Schizosaccharomyces pombe: one gene and its partners. The gene in region 1 interacts genetically with each later gene. Each region holds a gene or a part of one and is shown on either strand. Other genes may lie near its edges. The genes, in order: irc6, ste6, SPOM_SPBC651.04 and tim13.

Evidence for each region.
Region 2: mutations in irc6 (region 1) and ste6 together harm fitness more than expected from each alone (negative genetic interaction), as found in Schizosaccharomyces pombe (one large-scale study listed by BioGRID).
Region 3: mutations in irc6 (region 1) and SPOM_SPBC651.04 together harm fitness more than expected from each alone (negative genetic interaction), as found in Schizosaccharomyces pombe (one large-scale study listed by BioGRID).
Region 4: mutations in irc6 (region 1) and tim13 together harm fitness less than expected from each alone (positive genetic interaction), as found in Schizosaccharomyces pombe (one large-scale study listed by BioGRID).

The regions. Positions count from the first base shown.
Region 1 is NC_003424.3:2,463,596-2,467,928, forward strand, and holds irc6 (recombination protein Irc6), read left to right. Parts: upstream 1-1,629; 5' UTR 1,630-1,752; coding exon 1,753-1,810; exon of another isoform or gene 1,811-1,850; coding exon 1,851-2,240; exon of another isoform or gene 2,241-2,282; coding exon 2,283-2,474; exon of another isoform or gene 2,475-2,517; coding exon 2,518-2,618; 3' UTR 2,619-2,899; coding exon of another isoform or gene 2,900-3,664; 3' UTR 3,665-3,833; downstream 3,834-4,333. Other genes in the region: mRNA-decapping complex catalytic subunit Dcp2, read right to left, coding at 1-1,356; SUMO-targeted ubiquitin-protein ligase subunit Rfp1, read right to left, coding at 2,900-3,664.
Region 2 is NC_003421.2:1,763,380-1,770,250, reverse strand, and holds ste6 (RasGEF Ste6), read right to left. Parts: upstream 4,166-6,871; coding exon 1,430-4,165; 3' UTR 1,280-1,429; downstream 1-1,279. Other genes in the region: ubiquitin-protein transferase inhibitor Glm2, read right to left, coding at 1-1,027, 1,085-1,258; triacylglycerol lipase Ptl1, read left to right, coding at 5,213-6,728, 6,780-6,871.
Region 3 is NC_003423.3:1,242,171-1,248,345, reverse strand, and holds SPOM_SPBC651.04 (uncharacterized protein), read right to left. Parts: upstream 3,577-6,175; 5' UTR 3,500-3,576; coding exon 2,786-3,499; 3' UTR 2,245-2,785; coding exon of another isoform or gene 2,125-2,244; 3' UTR 2,067-2,124; coding exon of another isoform or gene 1,428-2,066; 3' UTR 1,192-1,427; downstream 1-1,191. Other genes in the region: protein mug166, read right to left, coding at 158-862; ESCRT II complex subunit Dot2, read left to right, coding at 1,428-2,066, 2,125-2,244; GTPase-activating protein Gyp10, read left to right, coding at 5,401-6,175.
Region 4 is NC_003424.3:4,481,242-4,486,019, reverse strand, and holds tim13 (TIM22 inner membrane protein import complex subunit Tim13), read right to left. Parts: upstream 2,030-4,778; 5' UTR 1,943-2,029; coding exon 1,826-1,942; intron 1,768-1,825; coding exon 1,699-1,767; intron 1,656-1,698; coding exon 1,554-1,655; 3' UTR 1,363-1,553; downstream 1-1,362. Other genes in the region: endodeoxyribonuclease Pnu1, read left to right, coding at 26-307, 424-670, 746-1,185; G-protein-coupled receptor Stm1, read left to right, coding at 3,245-4,060; SPOM_SPAC17C9.11C (zf-C2H2 type zinc finger protein/UBA domain protein), read right to left, coding at 4,090-4,127, 4,286-4,778. UniProt on the Schizosaccharomyces pombe protein: Mitochondrial intermembrane chaperone that participates in the import and insertion of some multi-pass transmembrane proteins into the mitochondrial inner membrane.

The DNA of each region.
Region 1 (4,333 bases):
TTGAGTCTGATGACCATTTACATAGGGAGAAGAAGATCCGTATGCTGGTTGCGGAGTTTTGCCTAAACCATAGGAACTAACGGAAGTCGAAGTGGGAGGATAAAAAACTTGATGATAAACAGTACTTGGCGAGGGCAATTCCATTGGAGAAGGCATGTCGCTAGCGGCAAATAAATGCTGAACAGAATTTTGGTCTTTAAGTAAATTTGAATACATACTCTGCTGAAAGTGATTATTCAACACAGGTTTATTAGTTAACATGTTGTTTTGAGAAACAACTCTTGGAAAAGAAGCAGATGGATTTTTTGGATCCAATCCAAGGTAAGCAAAAGGATCGAAACTGTTATTATCATGCGATAAACGAGAATTGCTGCTTTGAATGGGGGGATTAAGAGGAAGGTTCGACACAGGAGGAAGTTGAATTGGAGATTTAGGTTCATTTCCTTCATTTAATAAATGCAAGATTTTCTGTTTAATGTCAAAAGAAGAATGTGATTCAACTGGTGGCTGAGGAAAAGTTGAAGGTTGCGGAGTAGCAAGGTCTGAAGGTGCTGTCGAAGATTTCAAAAGAGAAAGCAGTTGGGAAGAAGCATCAGCATCAACATCAACGGAAATGTTCTTTTCTTTGGTAGTGTTATTGGCAATATTCCTCTTCTTAATCCATTTCTTCAATGGCGCCAAAAATGGGATTACCATGTAAAATTTGTTTTTCATGGTCTGAGGTTTATTTTTTTTGAATGTAGGAAGATCCATAAGATTATGCCATTCAATTTTACTAATTTCTTTTCTTGTACGAGATTCAAATCTTGTATCCAAAGATATTCCAGGAATAATATACAATCGAACGTTTTGTCCACGTATAGTCATATCAATAAATTCATTAGGATTTATACGGCTAGAACAGTCAAAGCCTGTTTCTTCATATACTTCACGAATAGCACAATCAACATCAGATTCATCTTTATCAATTTTTCCCTTAGGAAATCCCCAGCCGGATGATGCTTTCCATCCTTTGACAAGTACGCATTGCTGCATTGACATATCAAGCATTATAGCTCCGCGGACAGGAATACGAGTCTTATATCGTAAAAAATCATCAAACGCCTCTTCATGGACCTTACTCCACTTCCACAATAAAGGACAGTGAGCAAAAAGCTTTGCACTAAAAACACGCAAACCTAGTGATGGCAACTGATCGTTTTGCGCACGTATAAAATCTTCATAAAACCAATGAGCTTGTTCGATTTGAAAACAAAGTCGTTCAACGCTACTTTGCTCCTCTGCTGGTAAATTCAAGATAAATCTAGCTGATAAATCATCCAGCACTTGCGAAAACGTGGCATTTGTGAACGACATATTTCTTTTAATATATAGTAGTCTATTGTTTGCATTTAAAATTCTAAGTCACTCCAAAGCACGACAAATTCGTCAACTTTAATTTTTGTGCGTCTTGGTATTTAAAGCCATTTATGCGTGTGCGTATAACACAGAGTTAGGGACACGTAAAATTACGTACCAACCTTCGTTAGTGATAAACTAAACCATTATTGATTTAGGAATGTATCACACTGCGCTATACTATTGCTCAATCCTTGTTTCATTAAACTGTTAGACTGTAGTTAAAATCACAATTTGCCTTACCTTTAGGTCTTTCGAGAATTTATTTATCCACCAAAAACTTGTTTAATATTCTACAGAACTGATTGAAAATATAAAAAAGCGAATTAATTTTTGCTAAGTACATAAAATCATATGCGAGTTATTTTGGTTATAGGTCGCTCTAATTCTGGAAAGCTAGATTTTATTAAGGGTAAATATTAGTGTTCTATTTGCAATTACTAATTGAAAAGCTTTGACGGGTTCTTTACCGAAGGGGTTAGATGACGAGGCATTTAACAATGATCATTCTGGCTTGATTCATAAGTATAATATCAGAAATAAATATTTTGAAGCTTCGGTTGGTATTTGGATTGAAGAATATTCTAATTTAGCTGAAACTTTGGATGCTTATAGTTCTGAAGAAGCGAAGGAAGTTATTGATAGCTTAGGTGCCATTGTATATACTTTTCGAAGTTTTGATGAAGCTGAGTGGTCTCTTTTTAAAAATTTTATAGATAAACTACAGCTAGAGATTCCGGTAATTGGGTTGCACATGTCAGATGAAAAATTACTAGAACCACCTGATGTGTTTACCCCAGAATATATTTCTATCAGCGAGGAAGGAGTGAATGAATTCAATGGTAAAGTCAACCAATCTTCTATTTATTAACAAGTCTCTTTAGAGAAAGTAGGACTGGACCGTGTTCGAGAAATTCTCGATTGCTGCGAATGGAACTTGTCACAAGTTGATAAAAGTTTCTCGGAAGAAAAGGATGATGCCGGAGATTTCTATCTCCCGGAACGATTCAAAGGAAGTCCAGACATGCAATCGACGGATCTGGATAATTTGATGAAAGAAATGAACCAAATTAGAGGTTGGTAACTCCTTGAGTCGACTAAACTAACAACGAAATTTAGATGCTGACCTGGAAAAAAATGAGAAAAAGGCCAAGGCTTTAAATCTTTTAGAAAAATTGTTAGGCGATGAATTCGAGGAAAATGATTATGAATCGCTGTAGAAACAAGGCCTTTGTTCGTATCCGGAGAATACATGTTGTCGCTGGAGCACAAATTGATGTATAATAACTATTTGAGTTTGCAAGAAAGGTTCAATTAAGTTTTATCAAAGTATTTTTTACTAAAATCTAAATCTGCTGTATTGAAAGAGGACCTATTAGCAACTTAAAAAAAATTCGTAAGTAAAGCTCAGTCACAAATTGTGATAATTTTGGTCGTATTTCATTATTATAGACATTATAAATCCAACACAATGGACTACATTTTCAATGTACAAGGTTCGTCAATAAAATAATTCCCACATGGCATTTTTCGTATTTAAATAACGGCCACAGTCATTCACTAGACATTTTGACTGAGATCGTTTACTGGTTTTCAAAACTTTTGCACAAGAGCCACAATAGACGTGACCACACTTTGTTGCCCATAATGCAGATTTCTCTTTGCTTTTGGATGTTCCTAATGGTTCCTGACATCTTGGACAAACCATCAATGTATCATTGTTAAAGCTTCTAGTAAATCCAGATTTTGGAGGGCCTGGAGGCTTGTAAGACTGTTTTATATTTTCTAAAGAAGAAGTAAAATCATCATATGATTCTTCAAAATGGTTAGAGAAATATTCGTCGTCTGAACCGTTAGTCCATTCTGGATGTATAGCGTCAAATCTCATTCGGTTCACAATCAACTGGAAAAGAGAAGGGGATAAGGAATTAACAGAACTAAACTCAGGAAATGTCCTGGCAATCATTCCCATCAAATCTCGACGTGAAGAAGAACGACGAGTGGACACCTGAGGACCTAAGTAAATCATGTCTTCCAAATACGATAAATGATTTGAAGGAAAGTTACGAGACCGTTCATTCCTTCTCCGGTTCATACGCCTTCTTCGAGGACTTAGAACAGGAGATGATGGAAAGCTGTCATCAGGAATAGCATCCAAATCAATGATATTTGTTGAAGAAATAGAAGTTTCGACTGGTGGAGAAGGTGATCTCGTCAAATCAATTACACTGCTTTCATCTATTCCATTGCTTCCATTAAATTGCATTGATGTGTGAAAAAAGATACACAATTGTTTCCTGTCAAGTAATTGACAACGGGCAAAAAATTAAGTCGATTTATTTGTATATATTTTGGCCTTGCATATATTAACGAAACGGTATTATTTAATATAAAGCTCTAATGTATTGCTGTATATCAAAATACCGCAGACCAACAGTTCGGTGCATTTTTAAGGCAATGTCCAGTATGCTTTATTATTTATAAACTAATGGCTAGTAAAGAAACGTAAATTAGAAGTCGCATTTCTTTGTTTACACATTATCTTTATAAAAAGGAAATGACCTTATGTGATAATTTACTGAGAAGATCAAACGCCAAAGAAGATATGGCGAATAGAGGAATTTTACGAGCTTAATTTAGCAAGAAGAACCAAAAAAATATGCCTCTAGTAGACGATATGGATTTTTTATTAAAGCACAGAAAATGAATTTAAAATACTAGACGATATTTGATAGTACAATTGTTGAAGAATTAGGATTGTATTTATTAAATCCGCTAGATTCTGAAGTTAAACTTTCACAAATGAGTAATTGGAACATCAGCGCTTGAATATCAAGTTCCTGTCTTGAATTTTTTTGAGTATAAATATGATAAATCAAATAATGGATAACACTGCTTTTAGACCAGCATCAAAAGCGAGCGACATTAACAAAGA
Region 2 (6,871 bases), on another chromosome or scaffold:
CATGGAGCAAACTGGAGAGATGCTCGAGTTCGGAGTCGGGAACCTGGAAATGAGGTAAATCCAACAAATATCCTTGATACACAGCAATATCTTTGAAACCAACACTATCCAATTGAATCTCCCAAGAGACCAATTGCTGCAAAGTTTCAAGGATAGTAGAGGGAAATTTTTCTTTCAAAAAATCCAGAAAGAAGTTTCCGCTTTGATAGAACGATTTAATTGTTAATAAAGCAAGACATCCTTTCGTGTCAAATTCAATTTCATCCCGCTTATCATCAGCCTTAGTAGAATTGTTATCAACTTCAGCAGGAACATCAGCATTTTTGGCTATTTCTTCGTCTTCTGAGGAAATAGAGGATGACTGACTTACATATGTAGCTTTTGTCAGCTCCTGAGCCATGTGCTCAGTAATGATACTCCAGCTCTCTGGAAGATGGGACAAAAGATAATCGAAGATGTTTATTATGGATTTTGAAAGGGTATCCAACTTGTCACAATTAGTCGTAGCGCCACTTAGTTCTTCACGAAACTCTGCATACTGATCTTTTGTTTGAAGCAGCGAACGGAAAGAAAGCATCAATGTTTCTTTACTTAAAAAGAGTTGAGCTAAAATACTGCAAGCCTTTAAACATGCCAAATAACACTCTGACACTGGAAAGCGATGCATTGCATCTTGTATAGATGATATTGAGATTTTCCAAACACAATACAGTTCATCGCTATCAATTTGCAAAATATTTGCTAACCCCGAAAACAATGAAATTAAAAAATTATTTACAAATAGAACTGGTCGCTTTGTAGATATACGGTGTAAGGCTGATAAAATGGCACTGTTCAGAGATATGAATTGTTGGGGACTTTCAAAGCCTCCATTTATCAAAAGTTCACAACATTTAAGGAACACCTCTCTTGGATTTCCGTTTTTGGCTAAGAAGTCCACAAACTCATCGGCCTCATTTTGTACTTTCCCAACATATGGAAGCACCATTCCTATAATGTCCCAGGAAATTTCGCGTGTTATATGGTCCTAATTGCAACATTATTAGGAGAATTCATATTTAATTACATGAATATTTTTACTTACATTCTTTTCTTGCTTCAATTCTTCATGTAGACACTTAATCAACTCTCGCTGCTCATCAATATCCTTTATTCGCGCTTCTTCCAATATCAATTCGAGTAGCGTTGAGTAGGTAATATAATCTTTGGTTTCAATGGCTACCTTGGCGGCACCTGGAATCGCTTCTTTCCAGTCCATTCTTCTTATGAATATTAAGGTGTGAGGTAAACGGACGAAAGATAATTTACGAGGCAGACTATATCAGAATTAAATGATTTTAAGATTATATTGTTCTACAAAAGATTTGAAAATATTAAAGGAATTCGAAGCAAGCTCATAAAAACTTAAATCACTGTTAACGTTCACGCTTCAAAAAATGCCAGAATCAATTAGCAAGCGTTGTAAGGCTTGATCTTCAGATTCACGTGGTTCTACAGTTAAACTTCTTTGATAGATGTTATTCGTGTTTCGCTCTCTCGATATAACTTCATTAAGAAGCTCTTGAACTTCGTTGATGGGATTAAACATGTACCCAACAGATTGAAACTTTTTTATCTCATTCAAAATTCTAGTGACTTTGGTGCGCTTATCGAAATTGATCATGTTTTGAAAGTTATCTTTATTTCCAGTTTTAAGGAAAGTCAGATCAGTGAAGTAAACACCTAAGAAAGGGACACATGGCAAGACACAGTTCTCCAGACAATCTCTATAATTACTGAAATTTTTCCTTGCCTCTGTCAAATTGTTTAGAAGCTCAAAACTAGCCAATGTTTTACTATTCAAATTTGCCCATGTCTTACGCAGCCGATGAATGGGTGAGGAATTTAACGCAGAAATGATGGAAAATAAACTAGCAAAATTGTTAAGCTCTCTCAAATAATCACAGACCTGAATAAAATATGCTAGCACATTGGTACGTCTGCGAGGTTCTTCTTCTTGCACGATGGTTTCGGTCACAAAGTTAACCAGATGATTCGACAAATAAAAGGTCGAAGTTTTTTCTTTGGGTGAGAATCTGTTAAGATTGTCCCAGATTTTAGTTAGGAACTGAATCCTTGATATGTGTGAAAATGATTGAAACTCTAAGATACATAACTGCTTTGCAATTTCACGAGGAGGTAGAAGTAAAACCAATTCATCCTTATATATAATTGGATCAGGGGAATTATGGAGAGAAAGATCCTCTAATTCTTGGGATAGCTCTTTTCCCTCTAGCATTTTATGTGATCTTTTTGTAGAGGGATGATGAAGTAGGTGTGATAAAGAATGCAATAATTCTTCAGCAGATGCAAAATGTGGAACTACAAAGACTTCAAAAACTTTATAAATTTTAAACAAAAAGAATATTGACTTGGAATTGTCCAACTCTTCAACAAGATACGATTCGAACCAAATAAGAAGTATATCCAAAAACCTCTTACTAACTCGGTAAAATTCGTGAGAAATAAAAGAAATTTTTCCAAAATTTAATGAGCAGATGAACCGAAAATGTGCTCCAAGTATGGAAAATAAATCTGAAGAACTGATCATACTAGCGTATGTGTTTAAAAAGATAGTAGTAAAAAATGTACTATCTATATCTGTCCTTAGAAGGTAATTTATAATGAACACTAAAGTGGCTGTTTTTATTTTTCCATCTTGTTCAATTTTACCATTACATGACCAAAATGAAAACAAAAGGTTTCGGATCAATAATGGCTCTGGTGAAGTCTGTTTCATTAAATAACAAACTAATCCTTTAGAGTCGAACCAGTTGGTTTTATTGAGGTCAAAACCATCAAGTTGGGACTTCTCCGCATCATTCAATTCTGGTTGGATATTTGTGAGGAATTTGTATTCTAGAGAAAGAAACACAATTCTTTCTGAAAATTGAACAATTATTGACTTGATCCGAAGAAGGGATACTTTCAAGGTTACTAGTAAATCAACAAAAAGGGAATAATTGTCCAGTAAACAATCGCTAGGTGAGATTTGCTCCAAGTCGATACTCCACAAATATAAATCACATAAGTTAGAAGACAGTTCATCCTTCAAGGCTTCAACATCTTGAGAAGTGAAAGAAAAAGGGTTATTTTCAGAGGAAGAATAATTTATTCTTTGATTTGCAGACAAGAATCGCCTACAACATTGAATGCATCTATCGATGTCCTCTAGAATATCTAGTTTCCAAGCTTCTAGTGCATCTTCCGCAACTAGCTGTAGTACTTTTTGGGTTGTATTTTCAGTTAGCTTCTGTGCTTCTAAATTCCAAAATTCATTCTCAGTGCAATGGTAAGCTTCGTGTGAAAGTGACAAAATTGCAACAAAGGAAGTAATATCAGGTTGGAGATTTGTATGTGCTGATTGTACAGAATTGGAACAGAGCATATTAAAATCCCATGGCAAGAAATGTATTTCATGCGCTATCAAAGAGCCCAAAAAGTAAGAAGGGAAGGAAACATCGGGCCTGAAGAAAAACAAAAACTTATTAGCCAATTGCTTCAAAAGCTTAGTAAATCTGATGCAAAGTTCACCATAAGTGCAACCCATTCGGCTCAACTCTGGCAATAAATTTAATGAGGAGAACACTTGCGCGACTTCTGAGAGAAAATTTTCATCTAATGTAGAAAGGATTATCAAGGGAAATGAAAGAACCATACTACGAACAGTTTCAATTCCAAAAACGATCACTTGAGTGCCTTCCTTTTTTATAGATTGTGACACAGCGGCAGCGGTGGTGAGAATCCCTTTTACAAGGTGGTGAATGTCATTTTGAAGATTTTTTCTTAAGAACTCTTCTGAAGAAGGGATACTATTTATCGCTTGCACTCCGTGTTTCTCAAACCATGCAGAATCTTGAAGATGAGCCTCTACGTGAAACGGCGCACAACATTGAGCATTTGGGTCTTTCTCATTCGATGAATGAAAACTTGAAAAAAAATTTTGAATTTTTGAAGAATCAATGCACGACGTGGGGAACCAACCTCGTTTTTCTGAGCAAATTCCGTCGCACCAACCGTCCTCGAGCACTTCTATAACTATGATAGTGTCTCCTGCAGAAAATTTTAAAAATGAAGGATTAGAGCTGTTCTCATAATCACTTATTGCGGTCGTTTGAAACCTCATTTTCGTAAGGGTCCATGAATGCTATCAATTCCACGATTCATTTATTTTTGAAAGAAAAGAGGAAATATACCTTCTTAAGTTATTTCAGTATTTTCCTGCTTTTAAAATAAAGAAAACACCCGTTTATTTAAAAAAAAAGCTTGTTTTCCCATTATTAGCCATTTTGGGAATTTCTTTGTTTACTAACAATGGGCTACTACAATAGAAATTACCTGTGAATTTGGCGCGTCGCGTTTTGTCACTACGCAACTGTAATATTACATACAGTATTTCACTAGACTATGTTGTCAATCACTTTCACAATGGACTCACCTAAAACCTGTGGGTATGCGACTATTCCGCAATACAGTAATACTTCGTTGTTTTCACTATTCAACCCTATCCTTCGCTATTCAATAAATACAGAAAGAAAAATGTTCTTCCTGAAAAATAAAACAGATTGTCCTTCTGGTAGCGTTTTTCTAAAAAAAAAAGTTGAATTCTTTTCTATTGATCCAAACTTGATGACTATTGTTAAAGGAATAGACCAGTGAATTTAAAAGCTTTTGCGACTATCCTTGACCGATTCATTTTAGGCAGTAAAAATACGCAAAAAAATTTTATGTATCGCTATATTTAAATACCGTATGTCATGATAGTCGACTCCACTTTATTATAGTGTATTGCAATTATTTCGTTATAGTACCAATATAATACGGCAATTTAATACGCTATACACATCATGCCCACCTATAAACTGCCCATGACATAGGGTTCACCGAATTCACCGACAAGTTCAACAAATGTTTTTTCCCACGGATGTAATCGTGCCAATTGCCATTAACCAGCTTCAATTGAGCTAGTTCTATGAATTGAGCTGTTAGGTGGAATTCTCCAATTATAAAAGATATTGTAGTAGTTCATGAAGTGTTTGAAGCGGATTTTAGTTGGAACTTACAAAAATTAAAGGATAACTCTATCCATAGGTCCTGTTGAGACTTGTTACGTAAAATTAGAAAAGATTGGAAATTGTATTGTAATTTGTGAATTTACCATTGTTTGCCTAATATGACTGCACTATTTAATTTCTGGCGCATTATGTATGCGAATATTTCGTCCATTTGGCTACTGGTGGTTTCATTTTTTGAATGGTTATTTTCCGCTACGTCGATATCGCAGCAGCGTGGTTCCGGCCCTCGAAAGGGAAAGGTAGTTATGAACAAGGATTGTCGTTCTTGGGAGGATTGGAAAGTTTTGGCTACGACGATTGACAAGGCGTCGGGGCGTTGGAAATGGCGCTTTACTCCTGCCTCGGACAAGTACGACTATCTATTGATTGATCGATGCACGGTCTCCTTAAAACGATACCGCCAGAGGAAATCTGTCTATCCCATGTTAATGTTCTTGCGCTCTAGCTTACTTCGTAACTTTGGCAACATTGGCAATTCCTCTCTGTATACCGAGAATTACTCGGGTACAAAAATTTTGATTGAAGAGTATGTACGTGAGGTCAACAATTGTTTAGAGTTTTTATATCACACTAAAAGGCTTTCCTACGACGTTAAGTGCGATTTTTTTTCCGCTGCCCGAATTTCCTTCGGTACTACCTGTTTGTATTTCAACGGCGGCACTGCGTTTGGTCTATATCACTTTGGGGTAGCTAAGACCCTTTGGAAACGTAATTTGCTTCCTCAAATCCTTGCAGGATGCGCATCAGGTGCGTTGATTGCATCGCTTTTGAGTGTCTATCGTGATGAAGAATTGAATGGTTTGTTTGATACTTTCCCCAGCGAACTGTGGAAAATATGTCAGCAAACATCTGACTATTCTCTTTCAAAAGTTGTGGAGTATGGGAATATGCTTGACATTTCCATGATAGCATCTTTTGTCCGTCAAAGACTCGGTACTATTACCTTTCAAGAGGCTTTTGAGCGTACTGGACGTATTGTTAACATCGTTGCTCCACCTTCAGCTGTTTCTGGATCCCCTCAGGTTCTTAATTATTTCACTGCCCCTAATGTGCTGATCTGGAGTGCCGTATGTTCTAGCAATAGCTGGGCTGCCATTTACCGCTCTTCTCCTCTTTTGGCTAAACTTCCCGATGGGTCTACCGAGGTGTGTACTCCCAAAAATTTTATTTGGCCGTATGCTGGGCTTCCTAATACCGGTCGCTCTAATCCTTATGCACGAATCTCTGAGATTTTCAACGTGAATCATTTTGTTATTACCCAGTCTCGCCCTTCGTTGTTCCCTACATTTTATGATGAACTTCATCATCATCGTGTTTCAGGATACTCCTTAAAAATGATACGCTTAGTAGGATTAGAAATGGCTTACCGTTTCCGCCAACTGGATATTTTGGGTCTTCTACCTCCAAGACTACGTCGATTTTTTGTTGACGATTATGTTCCAAGTGCGTATATCACGCTTACTCCAACATTTTCTTTCTCGGACATAAAGCATGCATTTACCAAGCCCTCATTAAGCGACATCCAGTATTGGATTCTAGTAGGTGAAAGGGCCACATGGCAAGCTATACCACTTTTACAAGTTCGCTGTAAAACTGAAATTTCTTTACGACATCGTATGTGGAAGCCGATTCTTTTTTGAGTTTTGTTACTTGCTAACCTAACAGTTTCAAAAAACCTTACCAACAGTTACGTTGAACCTTTGTCCGTTAATAATCTGGCATCGCCCTTTGTCACTAATTTAGAAGAAAACCAAGAA
Region 3 (6,175 bases), on another chromosome or scaffold:
AAAGTCTCATGGGACTCTTTCGATCGATTCATCAATGGACATCCATCGATAATCGAATTCTCTAAAATACAACTTAACAAAAAATATTCATTTCAAGAGAAAACGCAGATAAAACAGAAAACTAAAAATAGAGAGAGTTTTTGTTTGTGTAGGGGCATCAAAATTGAGTATGAGTAGATTGTTGCAAACTTTCACTGCCAGGATAAGTGCGCAACAAATCATGCATAACAGCTTGTGCCGAAGCAATTTCAGTTTTGACTTGATCGACTTTTGAGTAAAGAAGGCTAATTTGGTTCCTCATACTTTGTGGGCTTGTGGTACCCGTTTCACTCGCCCTAGACGATGCACTAGAGGGAGTGTGTCGGTCTGGTGCAGGTAAACAAGAATCGTAAGGAACAGCAGTAAAGGTCAATACGGTGCTATTGGGGTTAGCATCTTGATTCATATGCGAGACACTAGAAGAAGAAGAAGAGAGAGAATTAGTAGTTGAAGAAGTTTTTGGTTTGCGGCGGAAGAAATATCGTTTTTCGGAGGGAACTGTCGCCACCGTTGTGGTAGAGTTACTTTTTAAAGATTTATAATTTAACAGCGATCTTTCCAAATTAAGGATCTGCTCCTGAAGTCGTTCAAGTCGAGCGTATTTTTGTTGCAAATCGATATAAGCGCTTACATATGCCTCATGAAAGACCCTGGTCTGCTTTTTTGTGAATTGAGTGGTCCAAGCATCTAAAACGTCGACAGTTAAGGGTTTATCTGCTTGTCCAAGTGAAGCATCCCCATGGGCGCTACTCTCGTTTCCTGAGGAAATTGACGAAAACGAAATGAATGAATTGCCACGGAAAAGTACAGCTCTCCTTGGCATCTTCAAAGCACCCTGAATGTGAGTAAATAAAAAAAAACGATTGAAATTACTCGAGCCTCGCAGAGTCCCAAGAAGTAGTTGGTTTTAGCACCAAATAATCTCTGGCCTACACTTAGTCACTATTGGTGGTGGTACCAGTCTATAATCAAGAAAATACCGCAGCTAAACAATGTGATAAACAACTTTATAAGGAAGTCCAGTTAAGTGCGTTAAAAAACTGAATATGCGCTGCTATACGATATTCTAATTTAAGATAGTTTACTAATATAGCAGGAAATAACTTGGTATACTAGATAATGAAATGTAACGCTCCTGTTAGTTACATTCTTTTCATGAGCTAGTTAGTTTACTATTGTTATAATTAATGGATGGTTTATTCTCCTAAGCAGGTTGTTATTGCTCTTCTACACAACTCCTGTGATCTTGGAAGAGGACTATTATTCGCGAATAATTGTAGAAACTGGTCAATTACGTTGTTGTTGATATTTTTTCGAAATTACTTGTTAATTAAAAGCCTCGATCATAAAGATTGTGCGCTTGAAACAAGCAATGTTCGGTTGGGCCGATGCGTAAAAGAATTGGAATTGGAGCTTTGAACGACGATGAATATCTAAAACAGTATGAAGAAGTAGGAAATGAACTTATTGAACAGCAGTCCGATGAAATTGCATCTCAACTCTCGACGTTTCAGGAAGCGCTGAAGACGTTTGCGAGAGAACATGCCACTGAGATAAAACAAAACTCTCAATTTCGAAATACATTTGTTAAGTTAGCTTTGAAAATTGGTTTAGATCCATTTGTTAGTGGTTCTGATGAGTCAGCTTGGGCGGCCGTGGGCATGAACGAATTCTATTATCAGGTCGCTGTACGAGTAATCGAAGTCTGTTATGCTACTCAAATGGAGAATGGAGGCCTCTTATCGGTCAGCCAAGTTTGTCGTTTTTTAAATGAAGAAAATGAAGCCTTTGGTCATGAATGGTTAAGAGAGACTGACGTTGTTCGAGCTGTCGATAGTTTGGCCCCACTTGGCCCTGGCTTTGTTCTTGAAAAAATTGCAGGTAAACAGTATATCCGGTCCCTTCCTTTAGAGCTCAACACCGACCAAAATGTTGTTTTAGAGGCTGTAGAGATATTGGGCTATGTAACAATATCTATTTTACGGGACAATTACGCTTGGGAGCGTAGCAGATGCATTCAAGTATTGGTACGCAGTTAAATTATAAAAATATCTCAAAACATTTGCGACTAACCAAATAATTTAGAATGATTTAGTTTCAAAATCATTACTCTGGATTGACTCCCAGGGGGTGGAGATGGCCTATTGGGGTGCAAGCAATCTTATCGACGACCAGGCGCAAAGGTTTTTATACGAAAATTTCTAATGCCTTTTTATCAAGACTACCTAGAATTTTGGGGGAGGTTGACCTGCTTGTTTACAACCGTTCATAGATAGTCAACCCTACGCTTAATTTTGCCAGTCTATATATTAATTCGTAAAAGCATCTAGTAACGCTGTGATAAAAGTCAAACTAATGAAGAATAAAACTTTGAATTCGATGAAGAAAACGTAATATGTAATATATATATATATGTATATATGTTTGAGAAAAAAGTTTGGGTTTAGAAGAATTAAGAAGTAAAAGAAACTGAAGCACGAAAACCGAAAAAAGGAGAGACATAAAGTATGAAACTGGAAAAGATAATATGTACAGGTATAAGAAGGAGAAGAAGAAGAGAAGAGCTCGAAATAACGGGAAGTAGTGATAAACAACACAACAATAATTTAAGAATAATAATAATATAATAAAATAGAATAGAATCGGAGGTCATATTAAACAGCAAGACGCAAAGTTGTATGGACCTTGGAAAATGGAAACAAAATTAATTAGTAAGGGAAATTCCTTGGAAGAAAACAATCATTTTTTAAGTTTTAAGGGTCTTTGGTACCTCAAAGGAAGCAGGTGAATAAGGAGTAGTGGTAAATACAAACCGAATAGGCTCAAACCCATTTGTTTTTAGCTCATTAGTATCGTTATTCATACGTAAAAAATCAGGCTGCTTTTGAGGTAAAGGTAAAGTTATTAAGCTGCTCTGAGAACCAGAATGGTTGTAATGTATACCAAGACCACGTCGACCAGAAAATCGATGAAAGGAAGAAGGAACTTTGTGTTTCCTGGCGCTCTTTCTTTTACTCCTCGTATAAACGAGTTTGATCCTAAGATATGCCTCGGGATGCCTTTTTTTCATAAATAAAGGTATTACGCTTTCAACAGTTCCATGAGTGAAAATATCTTCCAAGGAAACACTAGCTTCTCCGACTACAAGAGGAATTTTGTGCCCACGAAATTGTAAGGTGACATCTAATTGCATAGGGGTTGTAGAAGTAGTGATAGGAAAAGCTACTGCATTGCTCATGCGATGCTCTGGAATATCCAAATGCGATAAAGAGATACTCTTCATAGTTCCAGCGAGTTTGAAGAGGCAATGAAAAGGTTTTTTCTCCCCATGGTGTTTCGGATTTTTGAAAATCGATTCATATTGCGTTCGAAAAACGATACTTTTCCAACGGGGACTCCACTTCTCCCATTGTTCAGGAGAGGCATAAATATGTAGCTTTCCGAGTTCAGCGGAACTCATTCAAAGCTCTTTGCCTGTCTATATACTCAAAAGCTTTCGATGAAAGATGGGATGTACAATGTATACGGAGAGGCGGTAAGAGGAAAGATAGGTCTAAGCAGCAAATTTGCTAATCCAAACGAAAATTCGAATACCAGCCATCTGTAGTTATCAGATCGCTGACCCACAAATATGTTACCTTGATCTGACTTATCTAAAGTAGCAAAATCAACACAAGAAACCTCGCTGTAAACAGAAAGGATGTTGTTTGATAAATGTTAGAACATTCCAATATGATTTTCACGATTATAGGTTTTTAATGAAGATACCTTTTCACTCAGATTGCTGGGTTTAGCTGGTAGATGATGAGAAATAAATTGGGAAAACTAAGATTCATCATGAATACAGACCTAAATATGTTTCAGCAAGTTTGAGTATGCTTTTTAAGACAAAAGCAGTAAATTCTTAACTTCACACTTCTCAAATCATATCCTTTCTATCTGAAACAAGCCATTCCACTCAAAATAAATCCAGAAACTATCTGTTTAATATTATAGTAAGCCCAACTGAATTAAGCACGGATTTTTGAAATATAACAATATGTAGTTTTAATCTAAAAGCTAAATAGATTGATGTATTGCCTATTTTAACTAATACAAAATGAAGCGATACTTCAATAAAAGAGCCACCTCAAAAATTTATATTAATATTTCCTACTAGGATTATATTAGAATTAGGTATTCTTTTTATCAAGCTTAAGTATTCGCTACTTTAACATGTGGATTCATTACTGATGGTTTTAAGTCATCGCTTATTTTTTTCTTTTTCGTAATAATTTCTTTTACATGAATGTCTCAACATTTGCTTGGGGTCAAATCGAGTTTTCAGCAAATACCATTAAATAGATTTTAATTAAAAAATAAGAAAAATTTTTCAAAATTCGTTCATCTTCAGGAGAGTATTCTCCCTCGTTTGAAGGGGTTCGTTTTATTTTTTATATTATATTTATTTATTTTTTTGGAGGAATGGTGTTATTTTAACGACTTACCCGCACAAAACTTTTGATACTTTGGATATAGCATTATTTGGTGGGAAAGTAAAGAAGATTTATCCGCAATCGTTTTACAATGACAGCTAAACAAACCCGCAGGATCTACAGCAGGGAACTGTTTCATTTGTCAAATATTCATACGGATATTAATTTTATTATTTGTACAATCCACCATCTAATAGTAACATAACGATTTCGGCAGTGCATACTGATATTCTTTCCTTAATTTGAAAAAAAGAAAAGAAGAAAAGAGAAGAAATAAAGAAAGTTCTTCTTGTTTGATTTGATGGAAGTCTCTCCTTATGAGTTGACACACATGCTGTTGAACTTTACAGCTATTTATAAAAGCCCTTCTACTTTACTTCGCCATCATATATTAACTAGCAAAAAAAAATTTCATAAGGAGATGGTATAGTAATAATACTAACGATATTCGAAAAAAAAAAAAAAACCGTAAAAATGCTTCGTTTAAGAATTTTTATAAAATTTTAAATTTACTTTCTTTCTTTCTTTTTAAAGTTGTTAAAGATCTTCTTTTATTAAGGTTGTCGAGAGGGTGTTCGGCGCAGTTGTTCATTGTGTTCCTTTTCATCTTCTGATTTTTTTTTTCCCATTTAAGTGGGTACGTACATCAACCCACAGACCACTAACTGCGCCCAACTTTTTTGATCCTTTATAAAACGGTGTTTTAGATGCCAAACGAGATATTTTATTAAAGAAAAATTTAGCTATTTATGAAAAAGTAAAGGCCTGAGATTAAAGGATTTCAGGATTCCTAAGCAAAGTGTGATTTAGTTTTCAGTTCAAAATTTCAAAAATATTCTTCTTCAAATATTTCTCCCTTAAGGGAAGTGGCGATTTCGCTCATGAGATGAAGAAGAAGGAGATAAAACAACTAAAAAATGAAATCAAAATTGCATTATTGAACTCTGATGTCGAAACACTTTCCCACATTGGCAAAGAAGGACATGGCTTCCTCATGAAGAGTCTGCGCAAGTCTGTATGGGTCAGTCTTTGTGGTTTATCGTGTCGACATCGAATGGAGTGTCTTTCGAGATCTACTTCTCAGTCTTCTTATGCCGACCAGAATCAGGTTCATTTGGATTCGGAACGATCATTCTTTCAGTACAAGTTGAATCCATTTCTACTTCGTAAACACCGTTCTCAATTGACCAAGCTGCTCAGTGTAGTCTTTAAGCATTATCCGGAACTATGCTACTATCAAGGTCTTCATGATATTGCCCAGATCTTGCTTCTTACCCTTCCTTTCTCTCATGCTCTCCCTTTAATGGAGCATCTAGTATTTTACCGTCTTCGGGACTTTATGCTTCCTACCCTTGATGGCACGGTGAAACAATTGCAGCTAATTTTAGCAGTTATCAAGGCTCGCGATCCCACTCTTTATGAGTATTTAATAAAGGCAGATATCCAGTGTTATTTTGCTCTTTCATGGTTAATCACTTGGTTTGCACACGATGTTTCAGACATTTCGGTGGTATGCAGGTTATTTGACTTCTTCATCTCTTCTCATCCTCTTACCGTCGTGTACACGTGTGCTCAGGTTGTGCTTGATAACCGTACTTCCATTATTGAGCTTTTATGGGATAATTCTGGTGCTGATTTATTGCATAGCTATTTGTGCAAAC
Region 4 (4,778 bases), 2.0 Mb from region 1:
CTTCTTTTAATTCCCAATCGACGATATGTCTAGTAATCTTATCAAATCTTTTGGATTAATAGCAATTGGAGCGATCTCGGGTGTAACTTTCACGCATTTTTATTATAAAGGATATCAAGGATCCGATGTACCAGACTTGACACCCAGGTATACCAAATTTGACTCTGCTGGTCGAGCCTTAGAATCTATATATGATTTTAATGCCACCAAATTTTTTCAATACGGCATACCAGGACCAGTGGCAGACCAAAGGGTAAACCATGGCTATATGTCTGTGTTCGATCGGAGAACACGAAATCCATTCTATGTAAGCAAAAACACCGTTTCCTAAGCTTTCTTTACCTAGGAATTATAGATCACGGCAATAGATTAAATGTTTAAATTTCTGGTCTCTCGGAGTGCATTATATTAATAATAAACTAGACAGCGGAAACCATTACACAAGAATCGTTGAACCAACGCAAAGGCAATCGCAGGTACTCTGAGTTCGTTCCAGATGATAATATTCCTGAAATGTTTCAAGCAAAGTTAGGAGATTACAGAGGAAGCGGTTATGATCGTGGTCATCAAGTACCTGCAGCAGATTGTAAATTTAGTCAGGAAGCAATGAACGAAACTTTCTATCTTTCTAATATGTGTCCACAAGTGGGAGATGGTTTCAATAGAAACTGTAAGCAAAAACTTAACGAGACTTTTTCTTTTAATACATTAATAAATTTGACTAGTTACTAACTATAACAATTAGATTGGGCATACTTTGAAGATTGGTGTCGACGCCTTACAAGTAAATACGGCTCAGTTACCATAATGACGGGACCGCTGTATTTACCTAAAAAAAATGAACGTGGACAATGGGAAGTTCAGTATCGAGTAATTGGCAATCCTCCCAACGTCGCAGTTCCTACTCATTTTTTTAAAGTAATCATTGCAGAAAAATCAGGAGAGCCTACCTCAAGTCCATCAGTAGCTGCATTCGTTCTTCCCAACAAACCTATTGCTGACAACTTTCCGTTAAAGAACTTTGCAGTTCCCGTTGAGGTTGTGGAACGAGCAAGCGGATTAGAGATCTTATCAAACGTACCCAAGGGTAACCGAAAACAACTTTGCAGTGAAGTGGTGTGTCAGTTAAATGTTAAGGAGTTTGTTGAATCAGTTAAACAAAAACAAAAGAATCAAGGTAAATGATAAGAATAAGGAAATTTAATGAATCTCTAGTTTTTCTAGTTTTTCCGGTGATCGTTCTTTATTATGAAAATATTTAAACTGTTATTTACACAATAATACTTAAATGCTACATGTCAAAGAAACAATTATAAGTATTTTACCCAGTAGTATAACAACACTTGTAAGTGTTTAGCATGATTAGGAAAAGAACATGAAACGAATTTTAATTGCTGAAAGTTTATAATTATTAGAGAGAAAGCGCGTGAGCTACGTTGAAAAGAAAAATTTCTACGTTGCATATTAAGCTTTGCCGTCACTTCACAACTATACAACAAGACACATATCATAGGAGAGTAAAACAAAATGATAGAAAAAAAAATCATTATTATTCAGTTGAGATTTTTCTGCTCTCGTTGCATACGAGAGATATAGGTTCGAGAAACAATGTTCCAAGCATCCATATAGCGTTCCATACATTTGGAAACGCAAGACTTTTGTCTAGTTAGAATAAAAGTATTTTAATAGTTCTCATACCTTTTCATTGGGATCGAATGTGGAACCAGGCTCCGGGATACATTTATCAAAACAGTTCTCATTGATTTTCTAGATAAACCGATTAGTTAAAACATTCAATAAAACATAAAAAATGAATGGAGCATACACTTATCAATTCGCCAGCTTGAGCAACAGCAAGTTCCTGACGAATTTGTTTCATGAAAATGGATTTTTTGTCTTCAGAAGAAGGTGCATTTCCACTATTTCCACCGAAAATGCCCATTTTGTTTAAGTATAACGTTAAAACTTATGAATGTGGATAATTTTTACTCCTTTACAAGGAAAATTAATGAGGAAATGGTACGTTCGTGGAAAGTACCAAACGGTGTACTTAGGGAGACTAATTCAGAAACCGGCCATCATCACCAATTAGACTTCGTTAATAGAAAATGGATTTTCTAATATGCTGACATATGCGATACAACCAGACAGCAATCTTTGTTTTGTTTTCTACTTGGTATAAAAAAAAAAGATTTAATAAAATATTTCTAAACTAATGGATAGATATACTATTCGGGTCCTTTTGGTGAGTTTAGAAATAAAAGTTTTTTCAGCGTTTTTTTATTATTATTATTTTTAATATTTTAATATACGAAATGAATCGTTCATGACTTTTCATTACCCTTGTTTAGAAAAAAAAATAAAAATCCCAATTTGTAAGAAATTTTTATAGAGTTTTATAGTCTCGAAATTAAATCATGGAATTAGCACATCTTTTACTGCAAATAATCTGAGAATCAAACAAGTCACGTAAACATTTCAATGTTTAATACTGCTAGCGATATTATGGTGTATTAAATTTTATAACAAAAACGAGTTAGCTTGACATTGATAAAATTAATGCGACTGTTATTTACATTGAGAATTATATTGTTAAGTGAAATAGGATTATTCGAAGGAAAATCTATTTCGCTTACTATTCCTTTATATTTCTTTAGAATGATACCTTTGGATTGACTATCAATTGTATCTGTAAATCCACGGACACTTTCTTAATTCTGCGAAACTGCATGGGCGGCAAATTTTTCTTATCTTGAAATCTCTATATAGCCTTGCCCGAGGTAAATAAATAACAGGACGGCTGGGAGGTTGATCTTATCCAGAGCCAAACTCACCACCAAATCTCTTCTGTTTCTTTACAGTGGGAGAAATATTGTTTACCATTGTTATTATTATTATTATAGATATTCCTTTTAGTGTTTATTTTTTAAAACAAAAAAAAATACTTGTAACGAATTTTCATTAAGTATCATCTCTTGGATCGCTAAAATAAATCAGCGAATATTATAGTGCTGAAGCATTACACGTTCGAGGAAGTTGACAAATTTTAATAATTGCTTATCATTCCTATTAAATTAATAGTTTGATTTCCCTTTCAGGTTGCTTCGCTTTTGTAGCCCTTTGTTTCCCGTTCTTTTTATTTATTGTCCTCCACACTCATATAAAAAACTTTGACCATAAAAAGCTTAGACAAGCTCTTCTCAAATTCATTTTAAAATTATCTGTTCGCAAGCATTTTTGTCCCATGTCTGTGATAGCTCCTTCTTTTGATATGGCTAACATACTCACGGAGTTGTCTTCATTTTTAGGAGCATTATCCCTGGGATGTTGGGTCGTTTTACTGATCCCTCAATTACTTGAAAATTATAAAAACCAGTCTGGTGAAAGTATCTCTGATTTATTTTTAATCATCTGGCTTATTGGCGATTTCTTCAATGTACTTGGTTCCATTTACGGAAATGTCTCTTCTACTGTATTGGTTCTCTCATTTTATTACATTGTCTCTGACAGTACCCTACTTATGCAAATTTACTACTATCGTTGGAAAGCTGCCCGTCGTATTGCCAGTCGTGAACACGAACCCTTACTCCAAAGTCGTTCATTAGAAGAAGGTCTTCATGCACCCATTGGTAAACAACAAATTTGGTGGGATCGCCTTTCTACCCGTCAACAATTTGGTGTAATGGGATGTGTGGTTATTGTCTCGACAATCGTTGGAAACTTAATTATTTCTAGTGCCTCTTCTGACAAGAGTGATGATGACTTGAATGCATGGCCGTTTACTGCCGGTTGTATCAGTTCTGTGTTATACTTCTGTGCTCGTATTCCTCAAATCATCAAGAATCACAAAGCAAAGTCTACCGAAGGATTATCCATTATCTTTTTTGTGTTGGCCTCTGTAGGAAACACTTCATACGCTTTCAGCATTCTCGTATTTCCCGCCTCCGATTACTTAAACTACACATATGCTAACCTGCCTTGGATACTTGGCGCGTTCAGCACCATCTTCCTTGATATATATATCTTCTACCAGTTTATCAAGTATCGTAATCATTATTAACACAGCATAATTATCAAAAGGTCATAACTTTACCATTGCGGAATAAGAACGGCTGAGGGAAACAAATCTATGCAAGCGTTAATAATATATTCCATGTCTATAGTTCAAAGTTTTCAGAGGAAACAAAGATATGTCGTTTAGATGCTAGTAGCAACACAATATTCTTTCAAAAACATGTATTCTAATGTCACACATGATGACAGTAAACACTAGTTTGATACTTACCAAGTTGGTTAACCGGTTTATCAAATACATCAGTGCCGTATGAGGCACGGGGAAAGGTAGTGGTAAACTTAGTTGGCGGTGACACGTTCATTTTCTCAGCGACCTGTTGTGCCAATTGGCGTAGCGTCTCCTCAGCTGCAATAGTTATATTACAAACTTGACCATCGTGTCGGATAGAAAATCTGCCTGATGTAGGAGGGGTGCGAGTACAAGTAGAAGACGAATTGGCATTTTTAGGCTGCTTGATGGGAGCAGCCGTTTCTTTTACAGAAGAATTCTTATTTTCCCGTTCTGCAGCTCGTCGTTTTTTATCGCGTTCAATTTCTGCGAGGATTTTCTTACGCTGCTCAGCATCTTCAGCCTTTTGTTGACGGATCTTTTGCAAGTCACGTAAGCGGGCTTGATCCTGCATCTTTCTCATAGCCTGTGCAGTTTCATCATTGGATTTTTGAAGGATTTTATAATTTGTCTTCTTCTCTTCCAGAGCCAAAAT